2 linked regions of the Lonchura striata genome follow. The protein of the gene in region 1 purifies or fractionates together with the protein of each later gene. This does not show direct contact. Links are inferred from orthologs where the notes say so. Each region holds a gene or a part of one and is shown on either strand. Other genes may lie near its edges.

What was found.
Region 2: the proteins of SEC31A (region 1) and N-terminal kinase-like protein purify together in Homo sapiens (affinity purification with mass spectrometry; 3 studies listed by BioGRID and IntAct, counting the BioPlex papers as one, with this or other methods). This does not show direct contact. The link is inferred for Lonchura striata from reciprocal best matches to the Homo sapiens genes SEC31A and SCYL1.

What each region holds. Positions count from the first base shown.
Region 1 is NC_134606.1:60,924,005-60,931,825, reverse strand, and holds the start of SEC31A (protein transport protein Sec31A), read left to right. Parts: upstream 1-4,642; 5' UTR 4,643-4,758; intron 4,759-5,299; 5' UTR 5,300-5,303; coding exon 5,304-5,382; intron 5,383-5,904; coding exon 5,905-6,028; intron 6,029-7,821. UniProt on the Homo sapiens protein: Component of the coat protein complex II (COPII) which promotes the formation of transport vesicles from the endoplasmic reticulum (ER).
Region 2 is NC_134638.1:548,985-556,520, reverse strand, and holds the start of N-terminal kinase-like protein, read left to right. Parts: upstream 1-4,368; 5' UTR 4,369-4,412; coding exon 4,413-4,550; intron 4,551-4,751; coding exon 4,752-4,895; intron 4,896-5,093; coding exon 5,094-5,216; intron 5,217-5,490; coding exon 5,491-5,705; intron 5,706-5,803; coding exon 5,804-5,894; intron 5,895-6,077; coding exon 6,078-6,233; intron 6,234-6,644; coding exon 6,645-6,803; intron 6,804-7,073; coding exon 7,074-7,181; intron 7,182-7,417; coding exon 7,418-7,531; intron 7,532-7,536. UniProt on the Homo sapiens protein: Regulates COPI-mediated retrograde protein traffic at the interface between the Golgi apparatus and the endoplasmic reticulum. Involved in the maintenance of the Golgi apparatus morphology.

The sequences.
Region 1 (7,821 bases):
TTATTTTCCTATTTAAGTAGAAACTCTGAAAACTTTCTTGCTCCCAGATTTTATAAAGCCCATCTTTTTGGTAAAATCCAAGTGCCAGTGCATTGATTCCCTGCAACCTCATCAATTATCAGTTTTCTTCTGGCAAGAGCACTTGCAGCACTAAAGCCACCCAGCATTTCCAGGGACACTGCAGTCTCCTACCACTGCCCCAGGCACCTTGTGCAACCCTGGTTCATCCTGACCTGCCATATAAGTTTCATTAAATATGTGGCTGCTCTGCAGGACTGCTAGAGAGAACAGGGGATCAGATAAACTTCCTTGCTTTGCTCAGTTAAACTCTGGTTAGGGGGTTTGCAGTGGCCCAAAACAGCACTGCTTATCAACACCAGTTTTGCCAACATTGTTTCCTCATGTATGTTGCCTAGAGCTATCCAGCACTGAGCTCAGCAAGGAACAGCCATCCTTGGAATTACAATATACTCACTAAGACCATGTGTGGGTTTAGCTTGACTGACAGCTACCCTGTGGTGATGGAAACAAATACTTTCCTTTCAGTCTCTTCAATTTGTGCCTTCCACAAGAGTATTTCAAATTTAGGTGTTCGGTGAGGTGTGTTCTTATGTTTAAGTAACACCGTGTTATTTCCTTTACTAAGATTGTGTAGTGGTTGTTGATGCTCAGTTTCCCCTCAAATAAATGGTTTGTGAGGGTGGGAAAGAGGGGGCTTTCTCCCAGAAGCTCCTGGAAGACTTTATGTTCTAGACACAAATGCCACAGCTTGGTATTTTTGTTGGCACCTCCTACTCTGCCATATCGGTTTAGGACTTGTTCTGAAATGCTTGTTATGTGGTGCACACTGGCCGAGGGCAGACTCATGCCACCTAATTTTTTTATGTGGAGCACTGACCTGCATCTTAGCCTGTTCTCATCCACCTCAAACAGAGAGGCAAAACAAGCCTCACACTGCAAGTCCACAGCCAACTGCTCGGCCACCCAGCCAGCAGTGCAGGTGAGGCTCTGCATGTGCAGTGACAGATCTGTCAGCGCATTGCTCAGGGCAGAGCTGGGCAAAAGCAGGCCTGCGCTGTAGGGGTAGTCTGGGGCCAGGGTCTTGCCTGGAGCTGGCTGATACTGAGCACGAATGCTTCCCAGAGTCAGAGCTCTCCTCTGAGACGGGGATGCGTTCCAGGGGCTGGCATTGCCACTGCTGGGTGGCGAGCTGGGGGCCAGGCTGCAGCTGGCCAGCAGTTTGTGGTAAGTAGCCTGGAACACAGCACAGGTAGGGCTGCTGCTGCCACAGGCTTGGTGGAGGGCCCTGAGAAACTGCTCCAGGGGGTCCAGGCTGAAGGCATGTGTGTGGAGGTGGTGGGAAGGAGTGCCTTTTTGACATGTGTGGTTAGAGGAAAGCCACTTAAGGCTTTCAGTGTTGAGCAAGAAGCTCAGAAATCCCAGTTTGCGTTTGCTCTTAATAATGTATCTCCCCACAGAGTCTTTTAAATTGATAAAGCAGCTCCTGGCTTCATCGAAGAGGTTGCTTATTTTGGTGAAATTTCCAGCTAGCAAAGACTCCTTTCCATAGGGGCCTCTGCCATAAAACACATCGCACAGCGAGCTCATCAGACGCACAAACTTGACAGTCCCACTGCAGTTCTGAAATGAGGTAAGGCCCAGTTTCTGGAGGTGCTCCAGTGCCTCAGCAACACCCTCGCTGAACAGCAGGGTAGCGAGGTTGACCTTCAGGTGGTAACTCCCTTTACTCCCAGCCCTGCCTGACTCAGGACTGCACAGCTCCAACACCCTCTGCTCACCCAAAGCTGCCAGCTCCACCACATGCTGCCACCACATGATGTCACCGAGCCACTCGACCTTGTGGAAGCACTGCAGAGCATTCCTTATCAGCAGGAGGGTATGACAAACATCAAAGAAGTACGCAATGCTGTGAGCAGAACCGGGTGGATGCTGGAAAGTGCACTGAATCCTTTTGGGATCTATCCTGATCCCCAAAGCCCTGGCAGTCTCAGCACCGCGAGCAGAGGCACCCGATGTCACAGCCAGGACCATCATCCCAACGTTGTTCAGCTTATGGATGGCCTGACGAAGGAGCTGAGCAAGGAAGTTGCCGGATATACTGTTCACCAAGAAATAGCCAAGGGGAGCTGTCCAAGGGCTCGAGATGCCGACTGCCATGAGGATTATTGCTTCCGACGCCAGTGGAGCTTCGTCAGCGTCAAGGATGCCTGCTCCCAAGTCAACAAAGCCCGTCAGCTGTTTGCTCTGTGGGTCCCACTCCTGCTGCTTCTGCAGGGACACATCCTGTACCAGCACGGCGCAGTAGCGGCAGGCCTGATCCCCTCTCTCCACCTTTTCCTGAAGCTGGAGAAAAATGTCACTGCTGAAGCCTGCAGCAGCCTCGTTATTAGACAGCCAGCTGAAAAAAAAAAAAAAAAGGGATGTGATTAGGAGACATGATTCTGGAAAAGTTGAAGCAACAGGCAGCACTTTTTACGACTTAGGACATGGTCAGCCATGCCCGAGCTGCAGAGAAGGCTGAGACATGCAGGGCAAAGAAGGCAGCCCTGGTTTCCTTCATGCATAGTCCGAGTTTCTCTCCTCTCACCCTAGTGGTAGGAAGCCAAGGAAAGTGTTGACCATGCAGGGAAGTAACAAGGCAGCTTCAGGACAGATCCGTTACATCTATTTCTACACCAGTACTGGAAATACATTCTGAATAAATGAATAACTTAAAACTTGCTTTGTCAGACTGTAAGGATGAGGGAGAGGAAGAATCTTCCGTAGGTAATCATAGGCCTTAATATGGTAGAGATGGAGAAGACAAGCAAATTGCCTCATTTCTGGTGAGTAGTCTGCCATCTGCCTCCAGCTGTGCAACTCTCGAGGCAAATCTGCTTAAGAAATCACAAAAGGTCAACTTTAGCGAAACAAATAAATGGCTGGAAACAGAGGGATGCATGCCATAAACACCCCGCAGAATACAAAGCAACAGCATGGCCTCTGGAACAACTCAGTCCTGAAGGCTGGCATGCAGTGTAGGGCTCAGCAACTACACTACTGTGCCTCGCCTCTTCCTTGGCACGGGTTAAGCAAAGACATGAACCCGGGGCCAGGGAATGCACTCTGCTTCAGCAAGCGTCCCGGCAGTACCTGAAAACTGCGCCTGCAGCAAACTCACGATTTCCTCAGAAAGCTGCCGCTTTTCCGCCAGCTCCCTGAGGATGCTCGGCACGGTCCTGCGCCGATGCGCGGGGCCGCATCTCCCGGCGGCCGGCGGCTGCTGCTGGTGCCGCGGGGCGTCCGGCGGCGGCCGCGGCTCCCGCTGTCCCTGCAGGCTGTAGTTGTGGTCCCCGGCGGGCGGGCTGGGCAGCGGCTGCTTCAGCGTTCGGCCGGGGGTCCCGCTCCTCCTGCGCCCGGCGGCCGGCGGCTCCTGGCGGGGCAAGGAGAGGGCAGGTCACGGCACACGGCGGAACCCCCGGGGGGGTCGGGGAGCGCGCCCGGTACCTGCCCGCACCGAGGGGAGGAAGCGGGAGGGCACGGCCCCCCGCCGCAGCTTCCGCCGCAGCCCGTAGCGCTCGAAGTCCCCTTCGGCGAAGTGTCGGGAGCAGAGGATGGCACCGGGGCCCGGCCGCCACGCCCGGCGGCTCCGCGGGTCCACGCGGTTCACGGCGCGGATCCACTCGCGGCGCTGCGCGGCGTCCACCGGGAACCTGCGGCAGAGGGAGACGGCGGGATGCAGGGACGGAGGGACGGAGGGAGGGATGCGGGCGGGCGGCGCGGGCGCACTCACTGGTGGAAGGAGATGCCGCGCTCGCGGCTCCGCCCGGTGTCGCGCGCGGTGCAGCCCAGCGCGGAGCAGCTCCGCGTCATGGCCGCCGCCGCCGCACCCGCCGCCGCGCGCGCGCCGCGCCGGGCCCGCCCATTGGCCGCCGCCGCCGCCCGCGCGCCCGGCCGCCGCCTCGCCATTGGCCGGCGGGGCCGTCGGACCGCGGCCCTATTGGCCGCGTCACCGCGGGAGGCGGCGGCGGGGCCGGGAGCGGCCCGAGCCAACCGGGAGCGGCGGCGGCGGCGGGCGCAGCCAGTGGCGAGGGGCGATCCTGAGCGCCAATGGGAGCCGCGCCTCCGGCCCTACTTATAGCGGGGCCGGCAGCGCCCGCCGCCTCTGCCGCTGTGCTCCCGCCGGGCCGCGCCATGCGGTCCGGGCAGCGCCCGCCCCGCGCACGGCGTCTGCCCGCCGAGCGGCCGCGGAGCCCAGCGGCGGCGGGAGGCGGCAGCGCAGCTGTGCCCCGGCTGCCGTGAGGAGGTGGGTCCGGGACTGTGGCCCCCGGCTGTGGAAGCCGGCTGAGCTCCCTTGGGCCGTTCCCCGCCCCGAGGTGGCCCCTGTCCCGTGATGAGTCTCACTGCTGTTCACATCCTGAGCACGCCATGATTACTGCCCTTGAGCTGAGGACAGGCGGCACCGCGGCCACCGCGCTGCCGGCGCTGCGCCGGGCTCCCCCCGCTCCCGGCGCCCCTAACCAGTCTCCCTCTTCCCCAGGCCCGATGGCTGCTCCCGCCCGAGGGACGCGGAGGACACGCGCGGAAGGAGGCGGCCGCACATCCCCATACACACTCTCCCATCACCACCGCCCCCCGGTTCCCGTGCGGAAGGCGCGGCCCCGCCGCTGCCGCCCGGAAGCCGCGGGGCGCGCCCGGAAGGCGGTGGCGGCCGGGAGGCGGTGCCGGGGCTGCCACGTTGGAGCGGTCCGGGGACGGGTGAGCGCCGGGGACGCCGATGTGAGGGCAGGGACGGCGAAATCCTCTGTTTCAGTGCTGTTTTCCTCCGGCTCCTGTCGGAAACGGGGCGAGGGTGGCGGTCCCGCTGGCCGCGCGGGGTGCCCCGAGGCGAGGGAGCCCTGGGAATGAAATGGGAGCCAGGAACGAGCCGCTGAGTGTTCGGCTTCCCGGGGCTGGGTTGGTTTCGTGGGTTAAGGCACAAAGCTGCTGTAGGGTGCTTGCTGCTGTGAGAAGAGGGTTTTTCACAGCTGTTGAAGCTTTGCCCACGTTTTCCTGTGTTAGGTTCAGCAGCCGTCAGTTTCCTCTGCGTGTCAATGTTACTCTGCTAATGGAGAGGCATTCCTTCCCTCCGCCGGGTGCCCTCTGGAGGGGATGGCTTGGCTGTCTGTCTGAGGGATATCTTTAGAAAAATGGTCCCTCTGGCTGCTTCTGCCGAGTCCTAAAGTGGCTTCTGTATCCGTGGCAGTGCAGTCTCACCATGCACCATTTAAGCATCACTTGTCTTGGTCTTACTTTTCAGCAAAATGAAGCTGAAGGAAGTAGACCGTACTGCCATGCAGGCATGGAGCCCTGCCCAGCAGCACCCCATTTACCTGGCTACAGGTGAGTTTTTGGGCAGCACGTGCTAGCAGACCTCGGGCTCTGTTTGGTGGCTGCCATGAAGGGGTTATTGAAAGCTGTAGGAGATACTCTGTGTCCTGAGGGCTGGAGTGCAGTATATGTTGTGGGGTTTTGAGCTGAGTTCTTGCATTGTGCTGATAAAAACATGCTTTGCATTCTGCGAGTAACAGTGAGAACCCTTGTCTTTCTGCCAGGGAAAGGTGACACCAATCCTAAGTACTAGTCACTTGTGGCTCCTTTGTCACTTTAACTGCGTTCTGTGCATCATCAGGGAGGTACTTGCCCAAATATTTTCCTGCTCATATTCTTTAAGAAACATCCAAAGAAAGAGCCATGGGGAGGAAAGTTGTGTGGAACTGCATCTAAGTAATAAAAACAGAAGCCTGAGTCCATCTCAGGATCGTTTTTGAAAGGATGATGTTTTTGTTCCCCTCCTTGTGCTGCATTTGCAGTTACTGCTCTGTGTATCATGGCTCTCTCACTGCCAGGTGTGCTTCCTTGCAGGTACATCAGCTCAGCAGCTGGATGCAACCTTCAGTACAAGTGCTTCTCTAGAAATATTTGAGTTGGACTTAGCAGACCCTTCACTGGATATGAAGAGCTGTGCCACATTCTCCTCCTCACACAGGTAGGCAGTGTTGTAAGGGAAAAGTACAGTGTGTGGAACTGTTATGTGTGGTATGTGTAGAGATGTCACTTCATGTGGTTTCACTGCACTTGTTGAGGAGAGAAGCAGTTCAGCACTGAAAGATGAAGGCAAGTGTGTGCAGTTGATACTGTGGGACAGTGATGTTGGACTGTAAGAAAGTAGCTCATGCTTTGACATAAACAGAAAATTTTTGACTATATGTGTGGAGCCTTTATCTTTGGAAGCCTCTGGGATTCACAAGAAAACAGAAGAACATGTGAAATTTTGGTGGCAACTTTTCATATTGCATCATCCTGTTTGTATTTAGGCATTTCAGGGGGACTCCTGTAGCATAACTAACTTGGGTTATGTTGTGTGTGTTCCGACAGCTGGGAAGCCAATTTTCTGGCTGCACAGCTCTACTTAGTTCCTCACCATGTGCTTATCCAGATAAATATTGTTAGCATCAGAGTATCCAGTTTCCATCTCAGCAGCACTCACAGCAGCTCCCTGGCAGAACTGAAACAGCCACAATCCCTTTTTAAATGCCCTGCTCTGTGAGCAGAGCTGATGTCAATATGTCCTACTGACCTGCTCAGAGCAGGAGGCAGTGCTGGATCTTGAGTTTCGTTGTTCTACCTTGTTTTAACTGTGAGTGAAATTTGTCAAGACTTGTCATTTGCATTCTGAATTTCTAGAAGCACTCCTTATAGCCAGGATGCAGTGCTCCTTGGAAAGTACCTCCCTTGACCAGCAACACGAGAATTTGACTTTGCCCCAGAAAATGTATTAAAAATGAGGTTGAGGGTTGTTTGTTTGTTTCCAATTAAAGATTAGATAGCAATGTATACGTCAGGCTGTATTTTGGTTTTCAGCAAATGAAAATGTCCAGGTGATTATACCCACAAAAGATAAATCCTTAATTGCCCTCCAAGCAAAGTTTTGCACTGCTTTTATAGAACCATACTTTATCTTGGAAAGAGTAAAGGGCAAAAGGAAAGTAATTGCACTGTTAATTTTTGGGGTTTGTTCCTCATTGTTTCCTTCCTTCATTTTGGGTTGTTTTAAGTCCTGTTCAGTCTTGGTGGTGATGCCTGGACAGCCCTGTCAGCTACTTCATTTCTGGTAAACTTGCATAGTTAGGTGCAGAAGCATAACAATCATACCCAGGAATGGGTCTGTCTGATATCACAAACCAATTTCCATTTGTAGCAGCATTCTTCCATGAACCCCTTCTGTAATCTCAATACTGGGAGCCTGAACACTTGGCTGTTATGGTATTTCTCACCCAGCATATGCTCTTTGGGTAGCTTTCTGCAGTCTCCATCTTACCATGCTAAAGTTGGTGTGATTTAAATAAATTACTTGAAGATTGCCCAGAGGTAACAAATGGATGAGCAACATTACAGTGAATGCTAAGGTATCTCCTTGCCACTTTCCAGTCAATGTGGGTTTGCTTTCTGCTTGCATAAGAGCTGGTAAGTAGTTGTGTAATTTTATGCAGAACATACTCATTCTTTGCATGGCTAAGTGCACAGGAATGCTGTTTTGCTTATGCAGGAAGTTAATTGACTTGAAGAGAATTTGGGTATTTACAGATGGGCACAATAGTGTTAATTTCTGGAAGTATGTTTGATTCCTATTGAGTTAGCCTGAAAATAGGCTGTGGTCCAGGAGATGTGTCTGTGAGTGATGCTGAGTCCCTGGTATGGCAGACAAAACACTTGCACATCCAAAAGCATAGATACGGAAAAGCATATGGAATTTTTCTACTTTCACCTGTTTTTTTTCTG
Region 2 (7,536 bases), on another chromosome or scaffold:
GCGCAGGCGGGGGCGGCCGGTTTGGGGTGAAATGCGGCATTTTCAGACGCAGGATGGATTGAGAGGAGCCAATTTTGAGGGAAGAGCAGGAAAACTGAAGAGTGAAGATGGAATCGGCAGGGAAAGGAAAGTTTTTCTTCGCAGTGGCCCCATCTGGGGGGAAAAAAGGACTTTTTGGTAAAATGGCGGCAGTTGGGCAGGGGAGGAGCAGAGAGAAGAGAGGAAAAAAGGAGAGAAAGACAGAAAATAGAACAAAACAAAAAAGAAAATAGAAGAAAATCAGAAAAAAATTAGAAAAAAATAGAAAAAAGAAAACGAAATTGAAAAAATAGAAATTGGAAAAGCGAAAACTGAAAAAGCATAGAAAAAATGGAAAAATAGAAAATAGAAAAAAGAGAAGAAAGTTGGAGAATAGAAGAAACTAGGAAAACTAGAAAATTTGAGAAAATAGAAGAAATTAGAAAAAAAGAAAATCGAACAAATAGAAAATAGAAGAATCTAGAAAAATAATAGAAAAAATGAAAATAGACTGTAAATAAATAGAAAAATTGCAATTGGGAAAAATGAAACTAGAAAAAAGAAAATAGAAAATTATAGAAAAAAAAAGACCCAAGTGCTGAAAACTTGAGAAGATGGAAGTGAAAGAAAACAGGGAAAAAGCAGAAGAGAGAAAATAGAAGAGAATAGAAGAGAGGAAAAATGAGAGAAAATCAAAGAGGATTTAGAGGAGAAAATAGAAGCGAAAATTAATGAAAAAAAGAAGGATAAAGGGAGAAAAAGGAAGAAAAATCCCGATTTGGGTCCCGGAGCCAGGAAAATTGAGGAATTTGAGGAAAATGCCCCAAATGGAGCCGGAGGCAGCGGCCGGGTGAGGCCCCACCCCCCCGGGGGTTTGGGAATTTTGGGGGGATTTGGGGGGTTTTGGGGTTCTGTCGTTTCAGGCGCCGCCGCCGTCGCCCCTTCCCCTTCCCTCTTTCTATTAAACTCCCCAAAAATGGGGAAAACCCCCCAAATTCCTCCAGCGCCCTCCGGCTCCGCCGCTCCCGCCGGCGCCGCTCAGTAAGTGTCCAAAATCTTTTGTTTTTAACCCAAAGGCGTCGCGCGGGAGGGGCCGGTGATCAAAAAAAAAAGGGAGAGAAATGCTCAAAGAAATGTTTTGTATTTTTTTGGGGTGGGGGGTGGGGAAAGGGGGAGGGGGTGTCTCGAGTGTTTTTCCCCTTCAGGGAAGCAGCAAAACGCAGGGAAAAAAGGCCAAAAAAAAAAAACCCAAAACGGTGAGAAAAAGCCGAGGAAAGGGAAAAAAAAAGAGAGGATTTAACCAAAAAAGGCCAGTCTGCACTCAAAACGCGCTCAGGAGATTCCGGCAGGGATTTGAGGAGAAAACCCCCAGAGCTGGGGAATGCAGAGAAGTAAGAGTCGATTTTCTTTCTTTTCATTTTTTGGGGAGGTCGGTTTTTGGTGGGTAGGGGGCGGTTTTGGGGTGTTTTCCGCCCTTTCCGCAGCCGCAAGTGAGAGGAGGCAGCAGCAGCAGCAAAAAGAAGCTTTTTTTGCCCCAAAGTGAAGCTGGAAGAGCAGGAATTTGGCTCCAGGAGCTTTCCTTAGGAAAGAAAAAAAAACCGTAAACCCCCACCCCAAAACCCCGTGGAGGGAGGGGCTGGAGCAGGCGTGGGGGGAGGGGACAATAATCATGTTTCCAGGTTTTTTTCTCCCGAAACCAGCAGCAGGAATGCTTAAATTTAGACTTTTGTCCCCAAAACGAGTAAGTGTAGGAGCGAGCAAGGGGCGGGAGCCTCGAATTTGAGGCAAAACCCCCCAAATCGGCGGTGGCAGGTACCGGGTGCGCCCCCCCCCCACCCTGAGCCCCCCCCCGGGACCCGCGCGGGGTGGGGGGGGGAGGGCGGCAGATTTGGGGCGATTTCGGCCGGTTTGGGGCGGGGGGAGCGCGGGGACCCCCCCGGACGTGGCATGCGGGCACCTCCCGACCCCAAATCCCCCCAAAACCGGCGGAAAAGCGCGACCCGCGGGCGGTTTGACCGATTCGGCCGCTTTTCCCCCCAGAATCAGTTGTGCTGACAGGGTGTGTGTGTGTGGGGGGGTCTCGTGGGTGTTTTTTGCAGCCCCGCCGGCCCTGCCCCCGCCAGAGGAGCCTCCAAGAGCCAGACTGGGGCAAAAAAACCCCCAAATCAGGGTCTGCAGGAACAGTAGGGAGCCAGAAATTGGTATTTGTGCCGCTTTCACCCCAAAATGGGCCACTCCAGGGATGGAAGGGGAGGGGGAGCTTTGGGTTTGGCTGCTTTCCCCCCCACCCACTTAAAAAAACCCTAAAAATTGCTAAAATTGCTTCAGAATGCGCTGCTCGTTGGGCCCGCCCCCAAGCTGGGAATTGAAACAAAAAAAAGGGTGTTTTCCACCCCAAAAAAGTGCTTAGTCAGCGCTTTCGCCTGGTGCCTGGGGAGGGGGAGGAGCTTTTGTACCGTTTCCCCCGGATTTTCCCCCAAAGCAAAGGGATGGAGGAGCCAGGTGTGCGGGATGGGGGGCTGGCTGTTGTCTCTCTCCCCTCCCCACAGTGACAGTGCCAAAACCGCCTTGATTCGCCCCAAAATGGACAATTTGCTCCAAAAAAAAAAAACCAAAAAGGCTTAAAAAACTAGAAATTCCCCCCAAAATAAGACAGGTGAGCCAGCAGAGTAAGTACCGGCGGGGCCCCGGGACGCGCCGAGCCCCAAAATCGCCCGTTCTCGGCCCGAGCCGCGAGGGGGGCGCGCGATGGACCCCAAACCCCGTTTCGGAGCCGATCCCGTGCCGGGGGCGCGCGGCCGACCCCAAATCCTCCTTTCGGACCTCGCTGTGCTCCGGGGGCGCGGGATTAACCCCAAATCCGCCGGTCTGAGCCCATTTTGCGCCCTCATTTCCTCCTCCCGGCCCCGTTTTGCGACCGGGACGCGCCCGTGACCCCAAATCCGTTTCTGAGTCTTGTTTTGCGCCTGGGCCGTGACTCGGACCCAAAATTCCCGTTTCTCCGCCCAAATTGCGCCGGGGGCGCGTGGTGGGTCCCAAACCCCCCAAACCGCCCGTTTTCGGGTGCGCTCCGGCCCCAAATTCCCCACATTTTGCCCCAAGTCGCTTGGGGCGGGGCCGGACCCGTTTTGGGGAGGTTTTTTTTGCTTTTTTTTTTTCCCCGTTTCGGGAGGTTTTTTCTTTTCCTGAGAAAACTTTACCCCGTTTTCTCAGGTTTTGCTTTTTCTCCTCTGGACCCAAAAAGGCCGAAAAAAAAGCAAAAGGCGCCGGTGGTGGCACCCCCGGGACCCCCCGGGGCGGGGTTCGACTCCCCGCGGCGCCGCTGCTGCTGGCCTGGGGTCCTGTCCCGACACAGACCCCCCATATCACGACAGGGAGCCCCATGTTGTGGTGGAGAACCCCCCCCGTTTCTCCTCCTTGACTTGGGGATCTGGAAATCCAGAGGAAAGGGAGACCCCTGTATCCCGACAGGGACCTCATATCGCGATAGGAGCCCCCGTATTGTGATAAGGACCCATTATCACGACAGGAATCCCCCCACGTGTTCACATGGTTTTGGGGGACCCATGGTACGAGGGCGGGGGCGATTCCATGTTGTGACAGGGACCCCTTTTGGTAATAGGGCCCCACATGTCGTGACAGGGACCCCCCCCATTGTCCCAGAGCCCCACACCGGGTGACCCACAGTACCAGGATGGGGGTGCCCCGTGTCACGACAGGGATGGTCTATCGCGACAAGAACGTCTGTCCACGCTCTGCAAGGGCTCCGATCCTGGCAGGACCCTGGATGAAGATGAAGATGGACGCTCCTGTCGCGACAGTGCCCCTGTATCGCGACAGGAGCGGGACCACGAGTGGGCGCCGCATCGCTGTGAGCCCCCCCTGTCGCGACAGGGACCCCCAGTGACCAATAAACGGCAGAGCCCCGACCGCGCCTGTGTCGTCATTGGGGCTGGGGGGGGGGTGCCCTTGGTGCATATGACGTCACTGGCTGCTCCCTCTGACGTCATCGCAGCGCGGGCTGGGCCCGCTTGGTGACGTCACCGCCGCTTCCTGCCGCGTGTCCTGTACAAGCCCCGCCCCGTCCCGGCGGGTTTGGCCTCGCCCCCTTTCTAGCCCCGCCCCTTCCTCATTGCTGGCCGCTCATTGGTTCTTTCAGGCCCCTCCCCTGTCCCTTATTGGCTCTCCCGAGTCCCGCCCTTCGCTCCTCCCATTCCCCACCCCCGCGCTCTCATTGGCTCCCCCAGGCCCCACCCTTCGCCCCTCATTGGCTCGCCGGGGCCCCGCCCCCCCGGCCCGTCACCGGATCCTCCCGCCCGGCGCCGCCGCCGCTTCCTCCGGGCCCGCTGCGGCCCCGGGAGCCGCCGGGAGCCCCGGGGAGCCGCGGCCCCGCCATGTGGCTCTTCTCCCGGGACCCGGTGCGGGACTTCCCCTTCGAGCTGGGCCCGCCCGACGCGGAGCCCGACGCGGAGCCGCAGCCGGACCCCGCGGCGCCGGCCCCGCTCTGGCGGCTGCTGCGGGGCCGCCGCAAGGTGCGGGGGGGGGGGGGGGGTCCGTGTCCCCTCGGTGTCCCCGTCCCCGCACCCTGCATGGCCACGGCCCCGCCATCCCTGCCCCGAGTCCCCCCCGGTGTCCCCTCGGTGTCCCCAGCCCTCATCCCCCCGGCCCGGCTGTCTCCTGCCCCCCGCCCCGCTGGCCCCAGCCCCGTGTCACCGCCGTCCCCGTGTCCCCAGGCCGATGGCGCTCCGGTGTCGGTGTTCGCTCACAGCCTGGCCCCGGGGGGCGACCCCGGTGCCACCGGCCTGGCCCGGGCGGGGCTGAAGCGGCTCCGCAGCCTCCGGCACCCCAACATCCTGGGCTACCTGGACAGCCTGGAGGTGACGGCAGCGGGGACAGCGGGGGGACAGCGGGGACATGGGGGTGGCTGGGGGGACATGGGGACAATGGTGACAGGGGGAGCGGGCAGTCATGCTGGGACAGGGGGACACTGGGGGGACAGGGCCGGTGGTGACAGCGAGGGGATGAAGGAGGGACACAATGGGGGGACACGGGGGTGACCCCGAGTGTCCCCCCAGACGGAGCAGTGCCTGTACCTGGTGACCGAGGCCGTGACCCCCCTGCGGCGGCACCTGCGGCTGCACCCCCCGAGCGGGGACGCGGGCGAGCAGGAGGTGGCCTGGGGGCTGCAGCGGCTGCTGGTGAGGGGGGGATCCCTGAGGGGAGACCTGAGACCATTGGGGGGACCCCAAGATCCGGAGAGTGGGGGGGATCCCCAGGGTCTTGGGTGGAGGGATCCCCAGGGTCTTGGGTGGGGGGGATCCCCAGGGTCTTGGGTGGGGGGGATCCCCAGGGTCTTGGGTGGAGGGATCTCCAGGGTCTTGGGGGGGGGGTCTCCAGGATCTGGGGGGGTTCTGGGATCCAGGGGGGGTTTCTGAGAGGTTTTTGGCTATCGGGGGGTTTTTGCCCCCCCAGACGGCGCTGGCGTTCCTGGGGGCCTCGGGGCTCGTTCACCACGCGCTGGGGCTCGACGCCGTCTTCGTGGACCCCGGCGGCGAGTGGAAGCTGGGGGGGCTGGAGCGGGTGGCGGCCACCAGCGAGGGGACCCCCACACGCCCCCCCAGCGACCCCCCTCGGCCACAGGACCCCCCCGAGCTCAGTAACCCCTCCCGAGGCCAGGGGGACCCCTGGTGAGTTGGGGAGGGCACCTGAAAAAGGGGGTGGGGGGGGGTTCAGGGGACCACGGGGGTCTCCTGTGCCCCCTCCCCACTGTCACGGCCCCCCCCAGGGCAGGGGACATGTGGCGCCTGGGCTGCCTCATCTGGGAGGTCTTCAATGGACCCCTCCCCCGGCCGGGGGCTCTGCGCAGCTTCGGCAAGGTCAGGGACCCCCCCCAAAATCCTGGGGACCCCCTGAACACCCGGGATCCCCCAGTTTGACTCCCCCCAGACTTGGATCCCCAGATTTCTGCTCACCCCCCAGATCCCCCCCCAGGCTCGGGGGTCCCCCTGTCCCCCCAGCCCCTGGGGTGCCCCTGACCCTGTGTCCCCCCTGTCCCCCAGCTGCCCCCCGGGCTCATCCCGCCCTTCTCGGAGCTGGTGGCGGCGGATCCGGGGGCCCGGCCGGGCCCGGGGCCGCTCCTGGAGCGGCTGCAGCGCCCTGGAGCCTTCCTGGCCTGCGCCCTGGTGCGCACCGGGCTCTTCCTCGAGCACTTCCAGGTCTGGCTTCAGCCTCGCCTCGTCCCTGTTCCCTCTGTTATTTTTCATTCAGAACACCTCATCCTCATCCTCGCGTTCATTCCTGTTTTATTCTCATTCCCATCCCTGTCTCCTCATCTTTGTGCTTGTTGTTGTTCCTCATCCCCATCATCATCCTCATCCCCATCGCTGTCTCCTGATCGTCCCTCAATCCTCATGCTTGTCCCATTCCCGTGTTCATTTATGTTCCTTTTGTCTCATTTTCATTCCTGTTCCTTCATCCCTGCTCTTCCATCCTCATCTCGTTCCCATCCCTGTCCCCTCATCATCCTCACCATCATCATTGTTTTCACTCCTATTCCTTCATTCTCTTCCTCACCTTCATCCCCATCATCCTCCCCATCCCCTGATGTCCCCCCCGACCCCCGGCAGGTCCGGGACCCCTCGGAGCGCCGGACGTTCCTGCAGGAGCTGCCCCCTCTCCTGGAGTCCCTCCCGGGGCCCTTCCGCAGGCACAAGCTGCTCCCGAGGCTGCTCGAGGCCCTGGAGCTGGGCAGCGCCGACGCCAGCGCCCTGCCCCCGCTGCTGCAGGTGAGACCCCCCCCAAAATACCCCCCAAAACCTCCCTGACCCCCAAAATCCCACCCACAACCTCCCTGCTCCCGCTGCTGCAGGTGAGACCCCCCCCAAAATACCCCCCCCAAACCTCCCTGACCCCCAAAATACCCCCCAAAACCTCCCTGACCCCCAAAATCCCCCCCAAAATCTCCCTGACCCCCAAAATCCCCCCTAAAACCTCCCTGGCCCCCAAAATCCCCCCAGTAACCCCCATAGCCCCCTGGTCTCCCCCCGCTCCCCCAGGTGGCGAAGGTGCTGGACCCCCCCGAGTACCAGGAGCGAATTGTCCCCGTCCTCGTCCGGCTCTTCTCGTCCCCTGAGCGGGGCCTGCGCCTGCGCCTGCTGCAGCTGGTGACTGGGAGCACTGGGAGGGGGCTGGGATGGGACTGGGAGCACTGGGATGGGACTGGGAAGGGATTGGGAGGCAGTGGGAAGGACTGGGAGAGATGGTGGGGTTATCCATGGGGTTTAGGGGGTCACTAGGAGGGGTCTATGAGTTCAGAGGAGGCCTGGGGGGGGGTCTATGGGGGGCGATCTGTGGTTTTTGGGGGTCCCTGGGGGTGTTCAGGGGTCTCACGCCCCCCCAGCTCGAGGAGTTCATCGAGTTCCTGCCTGACTCCACGGTGGACTCCCAAATTTTCCCCCACGTCGCCCACGGCTTCCTAGACTCCAACCCAGCCATCCGCGAGCAGACGGTCAAGGTGGG